Rattus norvegicus: one gene and its partner. The protein of the gene in region 1 purifies or fractionates together with the protein of each later gene. This does not show direct contact. Links are inferred from orthologs where the notes say so. Each region holds a gene or a part of one and is shown on either strand. Other genes may lie near its edges. The genes, in order: Gli2 and Sufu.

Region 1 (10,827 bases):
GAAGTTGGACTTAACTAGCGCCCTGCACTGAATATAAACTCTGGGATGAGCATTCAGTGTCCCAGTGTCTACAAGGGCTTCTTCTGCATTCCAAACCTCTCTTCCTCTTTCTGAGGCTCCCAACTTCTGACCATCGAGGGACAGTAGGACGTGATGTTTGCACAGCTCCCCTCGAACCCCAAACATTACATCCTCATCTCCTCTATGACTTTCTTGCCAAAATAAGCCAGAAAGGTTTGGTGAAGGCCTAGATTCCTGCAGGAGTTGAACTGGTCCAAGAAGAAAAACAGAGGGAAAGCAATCTCTCCCTCCGGACGTTGATTTGTTTAAATTTCTCCACAAACTTTACAATGCAAAGAAAGCAAGAGAGACAAGCTGGTAATGAAGTAATCAGCTGACTCTGCGAATATTCCAGCCAGGAGAAATGAGTCCTGGCTTCACGGGGCAGATATGAATGGGGTCATTAAATGCAGCCAAGGGAGGGAGAGGGCTTACTTTTGCTATCTATGTCCAGAAAGCTCAGCAGAAGTGAAGAGAAGCAGCTGGGAGGAGTGATGGGTTGATATTCTGAGGTTTACAAGGAAAAGCCTGTTTCAGGTATCTTTTTGTTTTTCTGGTTTTTGTTTACATGTATTTGGGGGGGGGCTCACATGTCACAGATGGTACGTAGAGGTCAGAGGACAATCTGCTGGAGTCTGTCCTGTCTTTCACTTATGTGAGTCCTAGGGATCCGATTAGGTCAGAGTAGATCCATAGCAAGTGCCCTGACCTCTGACCCATCTCCATGACCCTTTATCCTACATTATCCATATTGGTTTCTGTAAATTTTTCTTTTAAGTATTACTCTTTTTTTTTTTAAAGACAGGGTCTCATTATGTGTCCCTGGCTGGTCTGGAACTGGCAATGTAGACCAGGCTGGCCTCTCATCTCAGATCTGCCTGCCTCTGAAGTCTCAGGACTAAAGGCACATGCTGCCTAACTTAGGCTTCCTCTGAGATTGAAAGAGAGTCCATCCTGCAGGGAAGCTCTTTACACAGGAAGGTAAACAACTCAAAATAGCTCCAGGAAGGCCCTGGAACTTACCAGATTCACTAGGCCCCTCCCTGCCAGAGTAAATAATAAAAGTTGAGAGTCTCCCTCAAGTGAAGAAACAGAGCTGCAGAGGAGTCTCTAAGACCAGACCAGCTGCCTGAGAGAAGCAGAGACCAGCCTGGCCGTCGGGAAGAGGTTTAGCCCAACCAGACATCTGCAAAGGACACTCCGGCCTATTGAGCTGTCTGGAGGCTGTGCATGGGTTCCCAGCTTTCTGAGCTGTCACCATGCTGGGGTGGGCTTCGGTGACGCAGCTGTCTTTGAGTGATTCCCGCTCCTATGAGTAGCTCCTTGCCCATACCCTGCAAGCAAAAACCTCATTGGTTCACCAAGTCAGACTTTGGTGGTGTCCATACTTTGAACTGTTGTGGGTTCCTATCTCGGGGCTGGGGTGTGGAGAGGTAAACACGCACTGTGGCTCCCCAGGAAAAGTTTTGTCACAGCACACTACGAATCGTCATACCCCTCCAGAAAGTTTTACATTTGAGCACACTGCCACTTCCCCACTCCTTGGCTTCCAATCTGCGAGGCCTACTTTGAGGAAAACAAAGTTGGCATCAAATCGTTGTAGTATTTTATGCCTCCCCCTCCCTCAGATAAAGAAAAAAAAATAGTTGCTTCTTTCATTTGAGGGAAAGAGAAGGAAGGAAGGAAATGAAGAACGGGGACACAACACTTCCCCATCTGTTAGAAAGTGAAAGTCAAGGCCAATAAGGTGACTAGGTCAATACAGTGCTTGTGTGGGCCTGGGTTGGATTCTCAGCAGTTACAAGATGGAAGGAGGGAAACAGCCCCCTTCTGCCCTACCCTCTGACTGTTGCCAAAGGACTGTGACCTCACACCCTGCCCCATAGAATAAATACATGGAAAAAAATTTAAATGTAAAACTTAGGGGCTCAGAGGTGGACCTCGGAGGATGGCCTTGGGTTCTATTTCAAAAAGTACGGAGATACTGACTTACAGAAACAAATAAGAGTTAGGGAAGAGCCCATAGGATAATTGCCGTCCATCAAGAGGGATTGATTCAGTGAGTAAAATGGGCTGAGAAGGACCCATGTCCTCGGCAGGGTAGGATTGGTCTGGAGTCTCGGTTCTCTTGCATTTTAGACAGGAGGGGCTGGAAAGAGATGCTACCAACATCCTCACACACCTACTTAACTGTACCAACCTTAGATTACCGTGGTCAAGTTTTACAGCTTCATCAACCATCAGCCATCCATCCCACCTTTAAAAGAAGGAGAAGACCCTGTGACAAGTTAAATAATACAAAGTAACTAGAACACAGGGTTTCCACAAACGTCAGGCAGAAATATAAAGAAGTCCCATGGTCAGCTTTCTAGGAGCAGAGCCCAAGAGGAAGTGGAGTCCCATGGCTTGGGAGGGCACGGTTCTGGACTGTGTGGAAGAACCAGGGCTACTTAGGCAAACGCGTTCATGCACAGCTTCATCTACACTTTGGCCTGCAACTTCAGTGAGCCTAATTCTTCCTTCTCCCTCTGTTGAGTTCTGATTACTTCCATCTGGCTGAAGCAGCTTCAGTGGAGTCTCCGAAAAAAAAAAAAATAAAACAAAACCCCCTCACTACAAAACATATGCAGTAAGCCTAAGGCTGGCGTCATTTGTCGCCAGCGTGCTCTCAGATGGCGGCAAGAGCGAGCCTTGGCAAGGGGCGTCTGGGTTCCCCCCCCCCCCCCGCCCGGGCACCTGCACTAGCTGCACGGGCGAGGAGGGCCCGCGTGAATCCAGTCTTGCTTCCCATCCCACGTGTGTCTTCTTCCTGCTACGGCGCTGGAGGGTCAGGGAGTTTTGGGAACAACCGGCGGAGGGCTGAGGGGGCTGAGAGGAAAAGGGGAGTTCAGATATTGAAACCAGCAGTCGCAGCTCCCGAGCTCCAGAGCTCATCTGACTTGAGTTAGCAACCCCCCCACCCCGGCGCCTTAGAAAAAGTGTTTGAGACTGGCGTGTGCTCCCGTAGCTGGAACTTTCCAGTAGGAGTGCTTTATTTCCTCCGAGCTAGGTTGGAAGAATCTGCGATATTTCCAGCTCCTCTCCTCCAGAGTGGCGTCTGGGTCGTTATCCTCGCCCCCAGTCCCTAACTCCCAGGGTTCTCTGGTCCCCAACTCGAACTTTCCAGGAGGGGTGCTTTCCTTGCTGGAGCTCTAGTGGAGGGGAATCTGTGTTCGCCCTCTCGCTAGCCCCATCCAGGGTGGTGTTCCCCCCGCCCCCATCCTCAGAGGCGGGGTGCACGCGGCGGGGGCGGACAGGCTAAGGACGCGACTATCCGGGTGTGCCCGTGCTCGGCGCGCGGGGGCGCTGCGCCATCCCGGAGACGCTGATGGATTGCAGGAGTGCCGGCGTTCGCCAGCCGAGGCAGCACGGCTCCGCGGACTTTTTTTCAAACTCCTCTCATCAATGAGACTTCGAGGAGGAGCGGGAGGCGGCGGCGGCTACAGAGGACGCGGAGGAAGGCGAGGAGGAGCCAGAGGAAGGAGCGCGGGCCGTGCGTAGCTTCGCAGCCTCCGGGAGCTGCTGGCCTGGTGTCCTTTGGGACTGCCGGGTCCCCCGCCCGCCTTGGTCCCCTCTTCTGCCTGGCCAGCCCAGCCCCGGCGGCCCGAGACCCGGCACTCGGCAGCCCCACTCCAGCCAAGTTGGGATGGGGCCCTACAACCACTGCCCGGCGCCCGAGAGGCCACCTGCGTGCTAGAGGCAAACTTTTGTCTCCTCGGTAAAGTTGCATTGGCTTCCCCACCCCCTTTTTTTCTTTTCTTTTCTTCCTTTCTTCCCCCCCCCCCTTACTCTTGGTGGCGAAGCACTTCCTAGCCTGGCCAGCTTCGGCTGAGATGCTGTGAGGTTTTCGGAGTGTTGCCGGAATCGAGATCGTGACACTGATTTTAGGGGGTCGGTCAGAGAGGGCAACTCTGATTATTGCTCTGGTCCAGCAGCGGCAAGACTTAAGGAGGATCTTGGGGATCAGAACTCGTGTCTGGGGTCGATTTTATTACCGCTGCCCTCCACTTGAGGGATAGTGCTTCTTCTTGGGTTGCTCGGGTAGGCCGGTCTTTGACCGGTGGCACCGCTCGGAGCCTGAACTGTTTGGGGGCGACGTGGGGTCTGGGGTGCGCCGAAGCTCCCTTAGATGGGCAGTTGGGAGCGCGCCCGTGCGGTGTGCTGCAGCTGCCGCCGGCCACTTGGAAACTTGCAACTCCACTTCTCCGCGCTGTGAGTCCGCGTCCCTGAGCCCAGTCTTTTCTTTCTTCCTCTCTCCTTCTTTCCCCCTCGTTGAACCCTGTTGCCCCTTCCCCCCTCCACCAGTCTCTGGACCTCGGTTCTGGTTTCCTTACCTTTCTCTCTTACCCTAGGTCTCCAGATCCCCTTGACTTCTCGAATGGATCCACGTGTAATCCTTCGCCGAGGGATCGGTTCCCCCTACTCCTCGCTTTCATTCTAGCCCCCACTTAACACCCCCCAAGCAATCTCTCAACAAGTATATTTGCTGAGGAATTTGAAAAATCCACTACTGCAACTTGATCTGTGTGTGATGGATGAGGAGCGGCGCGGACAGAGTTGGGCGCCAATCCTATTAAGGGTTTAGAGAGAGGGGAACGTTTTTTTTTTTCCTCCGGGATTGGGGGGTGGGGGGAGGGACCGTGTGCTTGAGTGAGTTCGAGAGGACTCCCGCCGCGTCGGGAGCTGGAAGTCCACCCACTGGGCTTCTTTTCAGTCCCGCAGCAATTGCTCTCATTTCCTTGGAAACCTGACTTTTAGAGCTTGAGGACGCTAAGGATGGAGCCCTTGCGCTTCACCTCGAGTGACCTGGCCACAAAGACGCAATGAGTTTGTGGGGATCCCCCAGAGCGCCTCTCCTTCTAGGCTCTCTCTTTTGTGTAACTGTCCTGTGGTTCCCAGAGCTGATCCCAGTTGGAGCAGGGGTTCAAGAGACTTCTCTCAGTAGTTTCATCCCTCAGAGGCTGGGAGGGGATGGGTTCTGTACCTCTCTCTTCCCCGGTTGGGGCATCCTTCATCTTGCTGTTCGGTGGCCCGATGTCCTGGGCCCCTTGCCCCTCCGCCCTCACTGGGCGTGTGAAGGTTTAATCCCCACAGCTTCAGATAAAGGGAACAGTTGTAAAACGCTCATATGCTGTTTGCAGACGAGGCTCTGGGGGATGTTGGAGAATTTGAAAGTAAACGTTTCCCTCGCAAGCGGCATAAAATAGTGTTTAAACAAATATTGTATTGGCATGCTCCGGGGGCTCGGTGCCAGAAAAGAAAAGTAAATAAACTGTGAAATCCAAAATATACAGCACGGGGGGGGGGGTAGCGGGCGGAATAGGCGGGCTTGTCACAAGTCTCCCTGATGTTATCTGTTTGTTCTAGCCACCTCTCCTTCGACCCCCCTCCCCGCCCATTTCCTCACCTTGGCTGCGGTTTCCCTTTTTGAGTAGGCTTCCGTGTGTCTTGGGGTCTGGCCCCTTCAAGAGCTCAGTCGGTCTGGAATGGAGGAGGGAATACACTGTGTTCCTACCTGGATTGGTCTCCCTAACTAGGAGGAAACATTCTGGATGCTAGCTTGCTTTGAGTTTTGAGGCTTTTGCCTTCTTCCAGCTTCTGTTCTATCCTGGGGCCCTAATCCCAGAACGCCCAGTCTAAACCAAGCAGGCCCCTCCTGCTGAAGGTTTCACTTCTAGCATCTCTACATCTTGTTTTCCCTTTTCTCTAACTTGCTGCTTCTCTCTAGAGGGTTCCAGGATTTAGAAATGGCCTCTTCTGGATACAGTTTCTACTCAGGTGTTGCCTGCTCTACAGAGAGCTCATCTGATGAATTTTAATATTAATTACATGTAGGAAGATTTAGGATGCCCGCCCCCCAAATGCCATGAGACCTTTCCTGATCCTAGCGGGGCTTAGAGTAACACAGGAGAAGGTTCTTTGTAATAGCGAGTCCTGTAGGAGATCGGCTCTTGCTTCGCCTCCCGTGTCTGGGAAAGCAAACATCTTTTTCCTACCCAGGGCTGGGCTCATCCATGAACTAATTGGGACTGGGATTGATAAATCTACATCTGTGCTTGGGTGGGAACTGAGCTGACATGGTGTGGGAATATGCACCGAATTCAGACTGACTGAGGTCTGCTCCCAAATTCAAGTCGGGCCTGGAAGGAGGACCACCTTGAAGTGTGTCCGGAGTTAGCCAGGAGCTTCACTTTCTCAAGATGTTCCTCTGGCCTTGCAGGCTTGGGAGAGCATTGAGCACTGAGCCATGGGGAGAGAAGATGTGCTTTTGAGTTGCTTAATAGTAAGAGGGGCGTGTGTGTGTGTGTGTGTGTGTGTGTGTGTGTGTGTGTGTGTGTGTGGTTATTGGACACAAGCTCATTTCCTGGTTGCTGTGGGGGTCTCAGGGCCTGTGTCCTGCAGCTGGCTTGTTTGCACTGCAGCCTGAAAAATACACAAATACTTCACTCTTTTTTTGTACTTCTACAAGAGCCCTGTACACAGTGCAGCCCCTGGGGCTGGATTAGTGAATCCGGGACAGTCTGCAAGCAGGCAGACAACATTGGATATTTGCCTATACTAAGTACTCTTCTTCCCTCAGCATTCCCCCCCCCCCCCGAAAGCTTCAGTGCCCAGACACTAGCAGTTCCCTTTAAATGAGACCATGAGGTTGTTGTATGCACTGTGAATGCGGCTGTGACCCCTCACACCCAGCTGGCTTGTTAAAGCTCAAAAACAGAGTCCTAAAACCTTGTGGGTGCAGCTGGCCTTTGCTGCTCAAACCGCAGGGAACAGGGTGGGGCTGCTTGCCCAGTGTCTTCAGCTGGGGGTCTCCGGTGGGAGGTCTACCTGTACAGTGCCTGTTAACTGGCACATCAGGGGCCACAAGGCCAGGTGGACCTCACTGTGGGCAGCTGCAGCTGCTGGGCCTGGGGGCGCCCTTTGAAAGGGAACCCCAGGGAAGCAGCTCCCTCCTTTCTTCCATTCACTAAGCATCAGAGGCGTGGACACACGAAGGCCAACTAAAGACTCTGTTCTCAGATTCTAGAACATCAGGAGGGGCAGAATCAGTGATTGGGTCGACAGCCAGACTACCCAGATGTTTGGTGCTGGGCTTACTGTCACTTTTAAAGAATCTGGGGGGAAGGGAATGAGTACTTTGGCCTCGTTTGCTAATAGCAGGTATGGAGTGAGGTCAGTAGCACTGGCTGTCCTCTGACAGGACCCTAAAGAAGGCCACCTTCTCTGCCATTCTGTGGCTTTCAGGTAAATACGCCAGCATATTTAGTACTAATCATGTTTTCGAATCTGAGGGCTTGTGGAAAACGTAAAGGACTTGGAAAAACTTTGGGTCACTATTTTTAGATTTTTGAGGGTGACAGAACATGGGAAGATGACCTCTTTTGGTGAGGCCTACTGTCCCGAATTCTTCCAACAACTGAAGAAGTCGTGTTTCTACTTAGGTTTTCCCTCTGGCGTTTTACCTAACATACACATGCTGGGAAATAACCGTTAAGATGTGACCAGGCAGTAACCATTACATTTGTTTCTTTACTTTTCTTTTTTTTTTTTCCTTTTTTTTAAGACTTGGGTTTAAATAGAACGAATTAATGTGGAGATTTTTTTCTTCTTTCTTTCTTTTTTTTTTTGGTGTGTGTTTCACATGTGTGATTTTTAAAAAGGCAGGTTTCTGGGAAGTGTGTTTTAACCGAGTGCTGGGTTTCAACATTAGCATAGGAAAACCACTTTTAGTGCTTTGGCTATTGTCTTGAATGGGGAGTTGGTACTAATGGGAGGCAGGCTGAGGAGGGTGATGGCCCGTTGAGATTCTCCCTGCAGCCTCTGCTCCTTCGCCGCCTGCGGATCTGGGATCAGATATCACTTTTATCTTGCCTTTTCCCAATTCTCTGCCCTTTTTGATGCGGCCACTTTTGTCTGCGTTTATTGACTGCTTTTGTCTCTGCAAATCTGTGGAAAATTTAATGAACCCAAAACCAGCAAATGAAATAAAGAGAACTTTTTAATTCATTAGCAGGGGACTAGGATTGAATCACCTCTTTGCGTGCAGAGGGTCCCAGTCCTCCAGGGAGGGCACTCCAGAGGGTGGCCCCACTACAGACTGGATTCCTATCCAAGGGGACGTGAAATGCAGCTTTCAGGCCCGTGGTGGTCAGTGTTGCTGCAGCCCGCAACCTTTTCCTCTAGGATCCAGGCTCTGAGGGGTTGGCATGGGTGGAGGAGAGACAGCCTTCACAGCCTGTCCCTGCCCTCAGCTTTCCCTGGGACACAGTTAAGTATCTCCCTACCTCTAGACCTGGCTTTCACCCTGTAATTATGCAAAGCCCCGGGTGTGATTAAGGCTGCTGACTTGGCGGGGCTTGGAGCCCTTTTTCTGTATGAGGGTGAACTCTTGTTCTTTCCTCAGTCTTACTGGGCTCTCATACCTCTGGGCTGTTGTGTGTCTCACTTATTCTTTCTTCCTCGTTTTTCTACCCTCTCTCCTTCCCTCCCTCCAATCTCTTCTGTCCTTTTCTCCTTTCTACCACCTTGTCTTCCCTTCCTCCTGCCCTTCATAACTTCCCGTCTGCTTTCTTTTCCCCATCGTTCCTTTTCTTCCTGCCTCCACTTTCTTCTCTCCCCGCCCCCCTTCTCGTACCCTCTCCATCCCTCCTTTCCTCTCCTGCTCCTCTTTGTCTCTCCCTCCTCCGCCCCACCCCCCCCCGTCTGCCCCCGCCCCGCCCCATCCCGTCCCGCCCCGCCCCGCCCCGCCCCTCCGAGGCTCCGTCGTCCCCGTGGGGCCGCGCAGGCCGCGTGTCCGGGCGGCGCCGAGCGCGCCCCGTCCGGGGAACATTCCGTGCCCGAGCGCCCGCGGCCTCCCACCTGCGCGCCCGCCGGCTCCGCGAGCGCGAACAATGGCTACATTGTTGCGGCGGGTGGCTAGAGCCGCCCGGGACCCTGCTCGTGGCGGGGTAGGAAGAAGGCCAGAGGGCCAGGTCGTGGTGCCCGCCTGGGGCACAGTGTCCACCTGAGCCGGGGCCGACACGGTGTTCTTAACCTCCCTGCCCCTGGGTCTCCTTCCTCATGCCTCCCTCAGAGGCTCAAGTTTAGAGAACCGGAGTCTTTGATGAGGGAGAGAGAGATCCGTTTGCTAAACTTTCGGTGGCGTTTGAAACTTCCCTTAGACATCTGCAGGGTGTAGCTTACAAGGCCCCAAAGCTGGGAAGGAATGGGTGCTTCTCTGGGCCATGCCCATTCGTCCTGACCTCTCAGCTTGCAGAAAAAGATCGTTGAACACTTAGGACAGAATGTTTAAAAGAACATCGTGCGGGGCCCCGTATAGGCCCCATTCAGTCCCTACTTAGCGCCCTGTCTTTGTGCCTTGGACAATGAAATAAGTCAGGCCGACTTCGGAGCCTCATTTATAAGAAACTGTAAGGGCCGCTCAAGTACACTTGTGCTAAGTTGAATTGATTGAAGTTTAATGGCGGTTAGTGGCGATGAATGGTAATGATTTTCCAGCGTATCTTTGGCATTCTTGACATTAATAACTGGAGTGCTGTGTGTGTGTGTGTGTGTGTGTGTGTGTGTGTGTGTGTGTGTGTGTTCATGAGGCTAAGCCTGCCTCGAGCCCGCCATACACAGGAGGCAGTTGCATTTTTCATCTTACTACATACCAGTCCATTCCTCAGATTCTTTTTCTTCATGCTAGATTGCAACTGCTTGTCTGATTTAAACACACACACACACACACACACACACACACACACACACACACACCAAAAATGGTAGAAAGGAGGTAAGAAAAATCTTTCTCCATTGAGTGTGCACCTCATGTCAGCATAAATTTGAGCTCGTTTTTTTTTCCAATTCTTACATAAATCAGCTTCTAATATACAGAATGTGATGAGTTTTTTTTTGATGGCATCATGAATTAATGGCATGCAAATGGAAGCTTTGCAGGTGGAATGATTTACTTAATAATTTCAATTTCTAATATTTAGGTTTATTCATTATGTTGGGTGTTTTAAGAAAAGGTCTATATTTTAAACCAAAGATGGGGCCATTAGTATGCAAGTGTTTGCAGTGTAGGCAGAGATGGAGAACTGGAAAGAGGGGCAGGCTTAATGTGTTACTTTTTTTGAGAATCTGTAATTGACCAAGTAATGGCTGAAGAAGCTAGGGACAGACCCAGTGTGGTCTGGGGGAAGACACAGAAACACACTGGTGTAATTGGAAGTGTGGGGACCAGGAGTGTTGCTATGGCGATAGTGGGCAGAGGGAGCAGCATTGTGGCATGGGTTAGGATACTTCTGCAGGACTCTCACTTCAAACTGAAGAGTTGATCATTAAGTACTTGCTTATGAGGTGGCCATGGTGTGGAACCCTGGGCCTGAGGACCACCCAGGTAATTCATGGAATTTCTTTTCTTACGCAGGGCATTTTCCTTGGGGACAAGTGGAGGCAGAGGGAAAAGTGGTAGATGGATGGACTTCGTAGAGAGAGCAGGTCCAACTGTTTGTGTTGCTCTCGGGAAGAGAAGGAGACCAAGCCACACTACTGCTTGATGACTGTGTTCGTGTTACCTTCTCCATTGCTCCCTGCTAAATACAAGCAACTGAAGGAAGGAGGGTTTGTTTGGTCCACAGTCCATCAAGGCAGAGAGATTATGGTGACTGGCAGTGTGCAGTAACTCAGAAAGTGGTATCCACATTTAGGAAGCAGAGAGCAATGAATGTTGGTTGGTACTTA
Region 2 (10,731 bases), on another chromosome or scaffold:
TAAACCACAACAAACTTTATAGTAACTGGCAATGGTTACAAATGCAAGACTGCATATGAAATAAACTTTCTATTTTTCTGGAAAAATCAGAAAACCTGTTGGGTATGTATGGCTTTGAGATGATACACCTGTCATCTCAGCCTCCAGGGGACAGGGAAACAGGACCTGAAGCTGAGTTTTGTCCACACAATGTGTCTCCGTGAGCCAGAGCTACACAGTGAGAGCCTTTTTTAAGAAAAGAAAAAAGGGCCAGAGAGATGATCATCTATTAAGCGCATGTGTTGCTTATCCACAGGACACAGGTTCAGTTCCCAAGCATCACTCAGAAGCTCTCAACTGACTATTAATTCCAGTTCCAAGGCATCCGATGCCCTCTTCTGACTTCCTCAGGCACTGCATGCATGTGATACAGGTATTTAAATCTCAAATAAGGAAAAGAAACCAGGGGCTGAAGAGATAGCACATCAGTTAGGAGTACTTGCTGTCCTTCCAGAGGACTGGAGTCTGGTTCCTAGCATCCACACTGAGTGGCTCACAACCACCTGTAATTCCAGCTCCAGGGATCCAAGGCAGGGGAGCTGTGGGGATGGACAGACTGCTCCTGCACTGCTAATGCCAAAGCAAAACTGATAACACATTTATTTATTTATTTATTTATTTATTTATTTATTTATTTATTTATTTATTTAATGTATGTGAGTACACTGTTGCTGTCTTCAGACACACCAGAAGAAGGCATCAGATCCCATTACAGATGGCTGTGAGCCACCATGTGGTTGCTGGGAATTGAACTTAGGACCTCTGGAAGAGAAGTCAGTGCTCTTAACCTCTGAGCCATCTCTCCAGTCCATGATAACTCTTTATTTTAAGTGTGTGTGTGTGTGTGAACGTCCTGTGTGTGGGTCTGTCTATATGAGTAAAACAGCTCTCAGACCAAAGAGAATTCCTGCCCATCTGGAGCTTCAGTGACAGGTTGTAACCTGCCTATGTGGGTGCTAGGCATCAAGCTTTGGACCTCTGGAAGAGCACCAATCACTCTTAACTGCTGAGCCATCTCTCCAGTCTGAGGTAGATCATTTCTATGCATTTTTTTTCTTTCAACAACTAAGAAAAAGGAGACCTAACACACAGGAACTGGCTAAAGACTTAGTTGGGGGGTTGGGGATTTGGCTCAGTGGTAGAGCGCTTGCCTAGGAAGCGCAAGGTCCTGGGTTCGGTCCCCAGCCCCGGAAAAAAGAAAAAAAAAAAAAACAAGAAAAAAAGACTTAGTTGGTTTTGTCTAGATATTAACATTGAAAACAAGAATTCACAAAGACCCCGTCTCAAACAAACGAAAGAAAGAAGTGTTATTCATCATTTACAGCATTACATTAGCTGAAACCCCTCATCCTGACCGGGTTTCCCCCCACCCCCACCTCCGTACCGAACACTGGACATCTTTGTTGACATGACAGCAATCATTAGTTGTCTATTTACCACTTAGCCAATAAGAAGGCCTCATTTTGTACACAGTGCTACCAGGCCCTAGGTACTGTGTAGAGTTGGGTGTAAATCGAACAGTCGAGGGCTGGGGAGTTGGCCCATTAGTTCAGAGCACTAGCTACAGCCCTTTGGGAGGACCAGAGTTGGATCCCTTCTGCACTGCAACCATGTTGGATAGCTCATAACTGCCTGCAGCTCTATGAAGAGGAATTAATGACCTCTTCTGGCCTCTAAAGGCACGAACACACACAAACGAGAGAGAGAGAGAGAGAGAGAGAGAGAGAGAGAGAGAGAGAGAGAGAGGGAGAGGGAGAGGGGGAGAGGGGGAGAGAGGGAGAGAGAGAGAGAGAGAGAGAGAGAGAGAGAGAGAGCATAAGGGGCCTTGGGCTGTGTAGAGTGGGTAGAGGGATTAATAAAAAAAGAAGGATCTCACCCTCTTATCCACAAGGGTTAAAAAGTCTACTGAGGCTATTGAGGGAGACAAAACCAAAAACAAACCCCCAAAATAATGGGTCTTATTTAACTAACCTTGCTCCCATTCCCTGCTCCCAACAATGTCACACCTTAGAGGCCGGCTTCAAACAATGACCTTGCATTTCTCATTTTCCTGTCTCTACCTCTCTAGTCCTGGGATTACAGACATGGACCACCACACCTGCTTATACACTAGGTTTATGCTGTGCTGCGGATGGAGCCCAGGATTTCATGAATGTCAGACAAGCTCTAGCATCTGGGCTACACCCCCAGCCTCAGCCTCCCCCTTTAAAAAGGCAGTTCATAACAAATACAGTAGCCTTCCTGGAAGGACTGAAGAACTTGGAACCAGATTTCAGTGTGAGATTTGGATCCTCAACTCCTAAAGTGAGTAGTTTAAAAAAATCTCTCCAAGCCTCCTGTTCCTGCATAAACTAGAGAAAGCAATCTCTATCCACCTACAATACAAAGAAAAGAACCTAGTGGTATGTCCACGTTCCCAGCATCACAGTTACTCTGAAAAGGTCAGCCTCGGACAGAGGGAAGTGGTAGTTTGTCTCAATGGAGGGACCTGGAAAGTGAATAGGAAGATTCCAACCAGAATGGGAGGGACCAAACCTTTGAGTGAAATACAGAAACTGAAGACAATCGCTCCTCCTCATAAATGGAACACTTAGGTTCTTTCTATTTGTCCTTATCGAAGCATTTGTGGAACGGTGCTTAGCAAAGGAATGCTATTTAGATAAGGCAATGAAGTTATGGGGCACCACAGCTGTATGACCTTGATCACTTCCACCTTCGGTGTTTGTTCTGTCGGTGAGAAGAGGTGCAAACTTTCTCCTTAGCCATTCACTTTTTGGGAAGTTTCAACTTGCATATCGGTGAAAAGCGCCCTGGAAACGCTAGCGTACTTGACAACCACTGTGTCTGAAAAATCTCCCTGTCTCTCAAGTGGGCACTGTAAACAGGAGAGCACCTTGCCTTTGTCACTCCCCTTTCTTTTTTACCTTTACTAACTATAATTTATAATCACAAAAATAACTGAAATCCTATGGCCATTTATGGTACCGGATTATCCGGCCCCACCCAGATACAGTTTACTAAATCGCCCCTCCAGCTCACACCCAAGGAAACTGTACTCCTTAGCCGGTGGACCAGCCATCGCCTTCCGCACCCTGAATTGCTGAGCCAATCCCTACAGTTATAGTGCACGGCACCGCCCCTTACAGAAGGGAAACACCTTGGCGGCCGGAAGAGCGACAAGCGCCGGAGCCAATAACTGCAGAGTGCTGTTCTAATCGGGCAAGGCCCAAGGGCGGGACCAATAGGAGAAGATAGACAGCAAGAGCAGCCAATTGGGTGATGGAAATCCAGAGCGAAGGCGGATGCTAAGCTCTAGGAGAACGGTTAAGGCCCCTTAAACCGAGGGTCCAAGGACCCTTCTTGGACTACAGCTCTTCCCTTTGTCTACCTTCAAATTCTCCATCACATGGGTGTTGGCTGGCCACCCTGCCTTCAAACTATGGATGTGAGGAGGACCCGGGCGGCGGCAGCTGAACCCGCCTGACAGGCCGGGCCAGTGACAAAGAGCTGGCGGCCTAGGCTGAAACCTCGGAAACAATCCTTCCTGGAGGAGAACACAGTCCCTTCAAAGATAGGAAAGATGCTACTCACATTGTCGATCACAACAGGCTGGTTGGCGATCACATCGTAGGACTCCATGGCAGAGGAATCTTTCCCTCCGAGGAAGGAACTGCCAGCCCGGTCCGCAGCAAACGCCACTGACACGCATGCGCAGTCTAGTCGCCGGTACTGGGCGTCCAGGGAGCGGCCCGACCTCGCCTCCGAAGAACTACAATCCCCAGCATTCTTTGCTCCAAACCGAGTCCCATCCAGATCGGGTTTAGGAGATTGGACAGTGTATTTCCGACATATGGTGCCATGGGGTTTGTAGTGTCTGTAGATTAAAGAGCCACAATGTTGATGATTAATGTTGCATGACTGGATTTGAGGCCCCTTCCAAGGGGTTTCCAATACACTCTTTTGGAGTCTGAAGTACTTGTGAATAGTTGGGATTGGATTTGTCAGTAGTTCAGGGGCGGTTGAATTTTACAGATTATTTCTACCTTTCAGCCATTCCTTCACTTGGGCAATATAAACCATTACAAACATCTGTGGAACTGGAATGTCAGTGGTAGAATGCTTGCCCGGCACTTACAAGAGCCCAGCAGCACCGGGGGTGGTGCTGCATGCCTTTAATCTCACCACTTGGGGCAAAGGTAGCAAGATCTGAGTTCGAGGCTAGCCTGGTTTATAGAGTGAGTTCCAGAACAGTGAGGGGCTATACAGAGAAAACAAACCTGTCTCGAAAAACAACAAAAAGTAAAACGAAAAGCAAAACAAGACAAAACCGTGAAGCAAAAGCCAATGGAGGTTATCAAAAATTACCTGTAAGTTGGATGCCACGGAACTACTGGTCTAAAGAGGTTTAGAAACTTGCAGCTTGCTAGGCAAGCGCTCTACCACTGAGCTAAATCCTCAACCCCAGGTTTAGAAACTTTTATCATCTTTCTTGAGCTTGACCTTGATGGATGATAATATCCAGGTGAAGAGAAAGAGTAGGTAAATGCTTTTCAGCTAGGAATTTTCCCCAGGCACTTTTCGTGTTACTCTTTTTATCAATAGTTCCAAGAAATAATTAGACTTGTAATATATTAATAATAATGACACAGTCTGATGATTTAATCATTTGTCAAGCTTATCTTAAAATCGTGTGTTAGCACCATGTTAAGCGCTTCTCGGGCGTTTCTTAGAGCTTTCATAGGACCCTAGCACCTCAAGGTACGGCGCCTCGGTTTTAAACTGGGTTCCTCCTAACACTAGGGGGAGGCCAAGATCCTTGGGACACTCCCAACACAGGGGCAGGGAGGCGGAGTCTATTGTCAAGTCACGCCTTTCCCACTTGTGACTGGCAAAGACACTAGCCAATGGGTGCCAGGCAAGGGCACGCCGACGCCCCACCCTCTGGAGCTCCCCGCGGTCCCACAGCATCCTCTGGCCGACGTCTTGAAGGCTCCGACTTGGGCGGACGGAGCCTCGTGCGCAGGCGCGGAGTTAGACCTCGCCGTAGCCCCCATCGCCTCGGGGACTCTTCATCCACAGTGGGTCCGCTGGCCCATAGGGGCGCTTTCCCTCCTCTACCCTCCCGGGTTCCCCGCGCGCCCTACGCGCCCCAATGGCGGAGCTGAGGCCTAGCGTCGCCCCCGGCCCCGCCGCGCCCCCGGCCTCTGGCCCTAGTGCCCCCCCGGCCTTTGCTTCACTCTTTCCCCCGGGACTCCACGCCATCTACGGAGAGTGCCGCCGCCTCTACCCTGACCAGCCGAACCCGCTCCAGGTTACCGCTATCGTCAAGTACTGGTATGCTCTGGGCCTCGGGAGGACCGGGGCTGGCCGGGAAAGCTTCGAGCACTGGGGACGAAGTAATTTGCAGAAGTGGGAGGAAGAAAACGGTCCAAGTACTTAGGAACCAGGAGCTTCCTGATGCTGTGGAAGGAGTTAGGACAGAAGTTGGGAATGGGGACAAAGGGTTAATGGATCCCTTGAGTAGTGAGGGGTTAACCGGGATTAGGAGAACTGAGAACTAGGGGTGTATACAGGAACTGAGGGGGGACGTGTGAGAGCGAACTGTAAACGTGGAGAAAGGAGGGGGCGCCTGTGGTGGGTCATTAGTGGGCTTGGGGGAGCCAGGGGGCGGCTGGAGTGGAATGGGGGGGAGGTAAGGCGGGGCCTGGAGAGCATTTGAGAGGGCTTTGGAGGGTACGAGATCGCGTAGTCTAGGGCGGTCCGGGGACCAGGACGCCCCTGTGGGTTAGGAGGGAGTAAGATGTGAGGGCATTGTGCCTTTGATGCGTGAAGAGTTGAGGAGACAGCTTTCTTTTTTTCCGGGAGGTTCCCGAACGAACGCTGGAGCTTCTGTCATTCAGTGCGAAGCTGTTGCTCTTGAAGTTTGACAGAGCCGCTCTTCCAGATAAACTTTTTGCTTACTCTGCACACTTCTCTTTCTCCCTGCAGAGCTTGCTTCTGACTTTGCAGCTGCTTTTGCTTTAGGTCGTTAGTTAAGAACAGGTTTCGGGAGGGCCAAGCTTTGGCTCTGGATTGAAGGAGATCGTAGCTTGCCACGAGGTGCGTGATGGAGACCTGAGTGGGCAGGAGGAATGAAGTGTAGCTTGAAGAAGCGCTTCCTGCCTTGCCTTCAGGATTTCAGCCGAAGTTTAAAGTTGCCCAGTAACGATCAGGTTCCAAACGGGCTGGCTGTCCTTGGGGTAGAAATGGTGCTCTCTAATCTCCTATTCTTTTTGCAACCCGTTTCTTCAAGTCAGCCTGAATTCAGACAAGTGTTATGGGACAAGTCCTCGTGGTCTTTCTGCACCAAAAATAGACTAAGAGATGGCCACATTCATGTAGGCAGTCACTGTATTAGATGACCCCTTTCAGTGGATCCCGGAAAATACCTGGAGCAATGGCTTGGGGAATTGGCAAAAACTGGACCTGAAGTGGGGGAAGTGGATGTCTTTACAGCTTACACTGCTTTTAAAGCCGAGTCTTTTTCCTATGTAACAACCTCTGATTGCCTCTGGAGATGGGCGACAGGCTATACAGGACTGAGGCTAACTCCCTGTGTCAGTTATGTACATGATGGGAAGGAAACTGACAGCCGGGAGGACCTGGGGACCAGCCTCATCTGGGTAGCCAGGAGACATGCCGGCAAGGCATCTGTGCAGGGCAGCCTGTTTCCAGGCTGAAGAGAGTTTCAAAGAGTGCTTCTGAGCAGGAAGCAGCTCTTGCTAACCTAATCACCCATTTCAATTGCACCTCTGTATTAGTTATGATGAACTTGTCCCACGTCATGAGAAAAATGGGGCTAGCCTTGCCGTGCTGTTTGCTCTAATCTTGTGTAAGTGTGAGGGAAAAGTTTCTGTGCAGAATATGGGGCGCCTGGTTTTATATCACCTACACGGCCATCAAGACAGAGTCGTGCATTAGAGGTATGAAACCATTATGCAAAAGACCAAGGGTAATTATACCACTTATTTTTTTTTCTACAAGTTTGTAGTGAGGCTGTATCCCCAGAGGTAGACTAGCATGTGATGACAAATGAAAAGACATGTACAGTACTTTGTGAAGTAAGAAATGCCACCTAGACACGGGAATCTAAGAGGAACCAGCTTAGTAATGGTTCTTTCTAAAACTCATAGGGATTTGCAGAATTGAGATACTGAAGTTTATTGCTGTCCCTTATGTTTAGTATCTTACAGCAGTATGACCCACTAAACTGCTTGCGTCTGGCTATGGGCTTTCTTTGGGGGTTGAGGGGTAGCATTTTAGCTAGTGGTCCCTGGCCACCAGGAATACTCTGACTGAGATTTTCAAGCAAGACAAGATCAAAGTAGGGAGGCAGAGCCTTGTGTCTTATCCTGCAACTACCCTATAGAGAGAAAGAAATCAGGTGTTGAGGGAATTGAGGTAAGGGATGTTCTGGGCCATTGGACTGCATCTCTTCCTAAGTGTAAAATATGATTTTTCCCCCATTCATCTGAGTGCAAGTATAAGGCTAACTTTGCTTGGTTCGTGGCCTCTTCTTGATGTGACCTCTCTTGGGAGACCGGCTGTGGGAGCCACAGCATGCCTGCAAGCAGAACAAGGAGAGGAGACACAGTGCTACTGCCTGTTGCTGCATGGACCTGGGCTGCGTCAAGGGCTGTTGGGGATTTGTAGCAGGAAGTTGGAAAGAGTGTGGAGTCTGTCTCTTTTAGGGTTCTACAGCCTTTTCTCTCCTCTATCCATCCCCAAACCATTTCCAAACCCAGCTGGTTATGGGTTTAATCAGATGATTTCGTGAAATCACAGTTAAAGACGTAGAGATCTGTCCCTCTACCTAACTCCCTCAGGCGAGATCCTAAGCTATTTTAGTGACTTTCTTTCTTATGACTTCTATAAATAACTTAGCCTCCCTCCTCCCCCAAGAATAAGGATTTCAACAAAGGCTAGTAACATCCTGGCAAAGAGGATGAAACCAGACTTACTGGTTTTAAAATAGGGTTTGAATTGCATGGTTCTGGCACACTTGCTGGGATCTCTTGTACCATGTCTTTTATTTGGTTGTTAGCTTTTCCTCAGTAGTTTAGCCCACTTGCAGAGTGCACTCCTGTCCATGTTCCAGGGGCAGGCAAAGGCAAACTCCACTCTGTGGTCTGTGGAGTGGTCCACGTGAGGCAGCTCGAATGCCGAGTTTATGGGCTCAGTGCACACTTTCTTCTGCTAAGGGGTTTCATTTAGGGTATTTCCCAAGTCTACTGTGTTTTCCTGTCCATTCTGAGGGAGAGCAGGTTTCGTTTGTTGCTGTTGGTTTTGTTTTTTTTTTTTAAAGCACTAACTGCTAAAAGAGCTTTTACTGAATTAAATCTTCAGCTGCCTCTCTGTTGGATTTATGGGGAGATCTAATGTCATCCTTAGGAGCCTTAAACTGTGAAATGTCCCAGCTCTTCCTTTGAGCCAAGTGCTGGCTGGCTCCCTCTTTAGGATGCAGGTGCTCACAGGGCTCAGCCTGGCTCACACTACAGGCCTCGTGCAGAGCCGAGCTAGCTGACGTTTGGACTTCATCGTTTGCAGTGACTAAGTTTTGATCTGTGCAGACCGGAAGCTTTGTGTGTACTCAGAAGCAACAACAGTAGAAGGCGCAGTACAGTCTTTCAGGAGCTAATCTGTCTAAAAGCGGGTGTGGAGTGGAGGCTGTACTTTCAGGAACGATGTCCACTGGCATGCTCCGCACAGTCATTCAACAGAAGCCACTGACTGACGGGTGCATCTCTTACCTTGAAGGCTGGCATGTTGACATAGATAGATGAAGACTCACTCCATTTGGAGTCCGCAACTTGAAACAGGCAAAAGCAAGATGGGTAACCACTAATGTCTGTTTTATTTCTAAAAGAGGCCCTGCCTGTTGGAGGGAAGGGGAGGGAACTTCTTGAACTTGCTCATCTCTACAGAGATTTTTGCCTCTCTTTAGGTATCTTGCACCATAGCTCCCTCTAGGACGGGGCTTTCAGGTTTGTAGAGCAGAGCCTCTTACTTGATAGTTCCTGGTTTCCAGGTTTGAAGTGACACCGTGTGTTTTGTCTTTTGCAGGTTGGGTGGTCCAGACCCCTTGGATTATGTAAGCATGTACAGGAATATGGGGAGTCCTTCTGCCAACATCCCTGAGCACTGGCACTACATCAGCTTTGGCCTGAGTGATCTCTACGGTGACAACAGAGTCCACGAGTGAGTGTGTGCCACCTGTCTTTCCTTAACCCTAAGCCTGTTTCTGACGTTTCATTGAATATGTGTGATAATGTTGGTTCTGTGGGAGTAACACTTTTCCATGTCACCTCTCTGTTTCCACCTTCTGCCTGTGTTGGCTAGCCCAGAATTGGCTATGTAGGCCAAGCTGGTCTTGAATTTGTGGTGGAGGGGCGGCTTGTAGAATTGCTTAAGCTGGTCTTGAACTCTCCATCCTCTCTCCCCAGTGGCAGGGGTTGCAGATCTGTGCTGCCAAGTTTGCATTCATCGGTGCTTGGGTTGCCTGCTTCACGTGTTTAGCCCCAGGCTGCTATTCTCTGCCCTGTGCCTTCTGAAATCCTACCCCTTTCAGGGACAGAGATAGTTTAGCCATGGCTGCTCATACAGAGGACCCAGGGCACCCACGGGGTAGCTCACAACTGTCTTTTAACTCTAGTTCCAGCAGATCCAGGGTCCTCTTCTGGCCTCTGTAGGCAGTAGACACATAAGCAATAGACATACATGCAGCCAAGATACCTGCACACACAAAATAATAGAAAATTAAAATTTTTTTCTTACTCTAATTTCTCTTTATAATCAACTAATACATGTTTTAATTCCCATAACATATTTTGATACCAAGTGAAATATAATTAACTTAGTATTTAGTCCTCCAAAATTACAATTAGGCTAATTATAAAAGCTAACAACATTTTTTAAATCAGTGATTAGGCACCAGGGACTCTTGTAGCCATTTATACATCTGTGTCACTAATGAATTTAATTTCAGCACAACACTGTAAAACTACTAGGTAATACTATTCACTCCACTTAGAAATGAGAAAACATAAAGAGCCTCTATAACATAAATCTTTTCTCAGTGGTGTGAGGGCCAAGATTGATTGATTGATTGACTGGGTGGTTGATTCAGAGCCAGGGTTTAGATGTAGACAGTCTGGCTCCATAGGGGAGACTCCTTCAGGATCACACCCAGGTCCTCAGGCACAGTAGGTGAATGCCGTATCGTGGAGCTCCGTCTTCAGCTAAAGCAGTCTACAGTCTTCAGGTCTTTTGAGACAAGTCCTTAGTATGTAACCACGACATGCCTGGAATCACCACATGAAAGTATTTAACACAGCAACATAGAAGATATGAAGAACTACAACAAACTGGGAGGAAAGTTATGATCACTTGCATGAACATGTTACCATCTCCAAAGACAGCCTCTACAGAGTCTTACAGAGTCAGGACAAGAGGGGCCTTGCTACTTTTTTGTTTCTGTGTTTCTGTGTAGAGCTCTGTTTTCTGGAATTTACTCTGTAGACCAGGCTGGCCTCGAATTCACAGAGATCTGCCTGGGATTAAAGGCCTGTGACACCGTCACCTGGCTGAGCCTTGCTACTTTTTCAACTGGCCTAAGCCAAGTATATCACCCAGAAAGAAGAAGGATAGTGTAAG

Evidence for each region.
Region 2: the proteins of Gli2 (region 1) and Sufu purify together in Homo sapiens (affinity purification with mass spectrometry; 3 studies listed by BioGRID and IntAct, with this or other methods). This does not show direct contact. The link is inferred for Rattus norvegicus from reciprocal best matches to the Homo sapiens genes GLI2 and SUFU.

What each region holds. Positions count from the first base shown.
Region 1 is NC_086031.1:32,709,095-32,719,921, reverse strand, and holds the start of Gli2 (zinc finger protein GLI2), read left to right. Parts: upstream 1-3,503; 5' UTR 3,504-3,817; intron 3,818-10,827. UniProt on the Homo sapiens protein: Functions as a transcription regulator in the hedgehog (Hh) pathway. Functions as a transcriptional activator. May also function as transcriptional repressor. Requires STK36 for full transcriptional activator activity.
Region 2 is NC_086019.1:255,194,168-255,204,898, forward strand, and holds the start of Sufu (suppressor of fused homolog), read left to right. Parts: upstream 1-5,021; 5' UTR 5,022-5,191; coding exon 5,192-5,373; intron 5,374-9,141; coding exon 9,142-9,276; intron 9,277-9,282; exon of another isoform or gene 9,283-10,731. Other genes in the region: Actr1a (alpha-centractin), read right to left, coding at 3,631-3,678. UniProt on the Homo sapiens protein: Negative regulator in the hedgehog/smoothened signaling pathway. Down-regulates GLI1-mediated transactivation of target genes. Down-regulates GLI2-mediated transactivation of target genes. Part of a corepressor complex that acts on DNA-bound GLI1.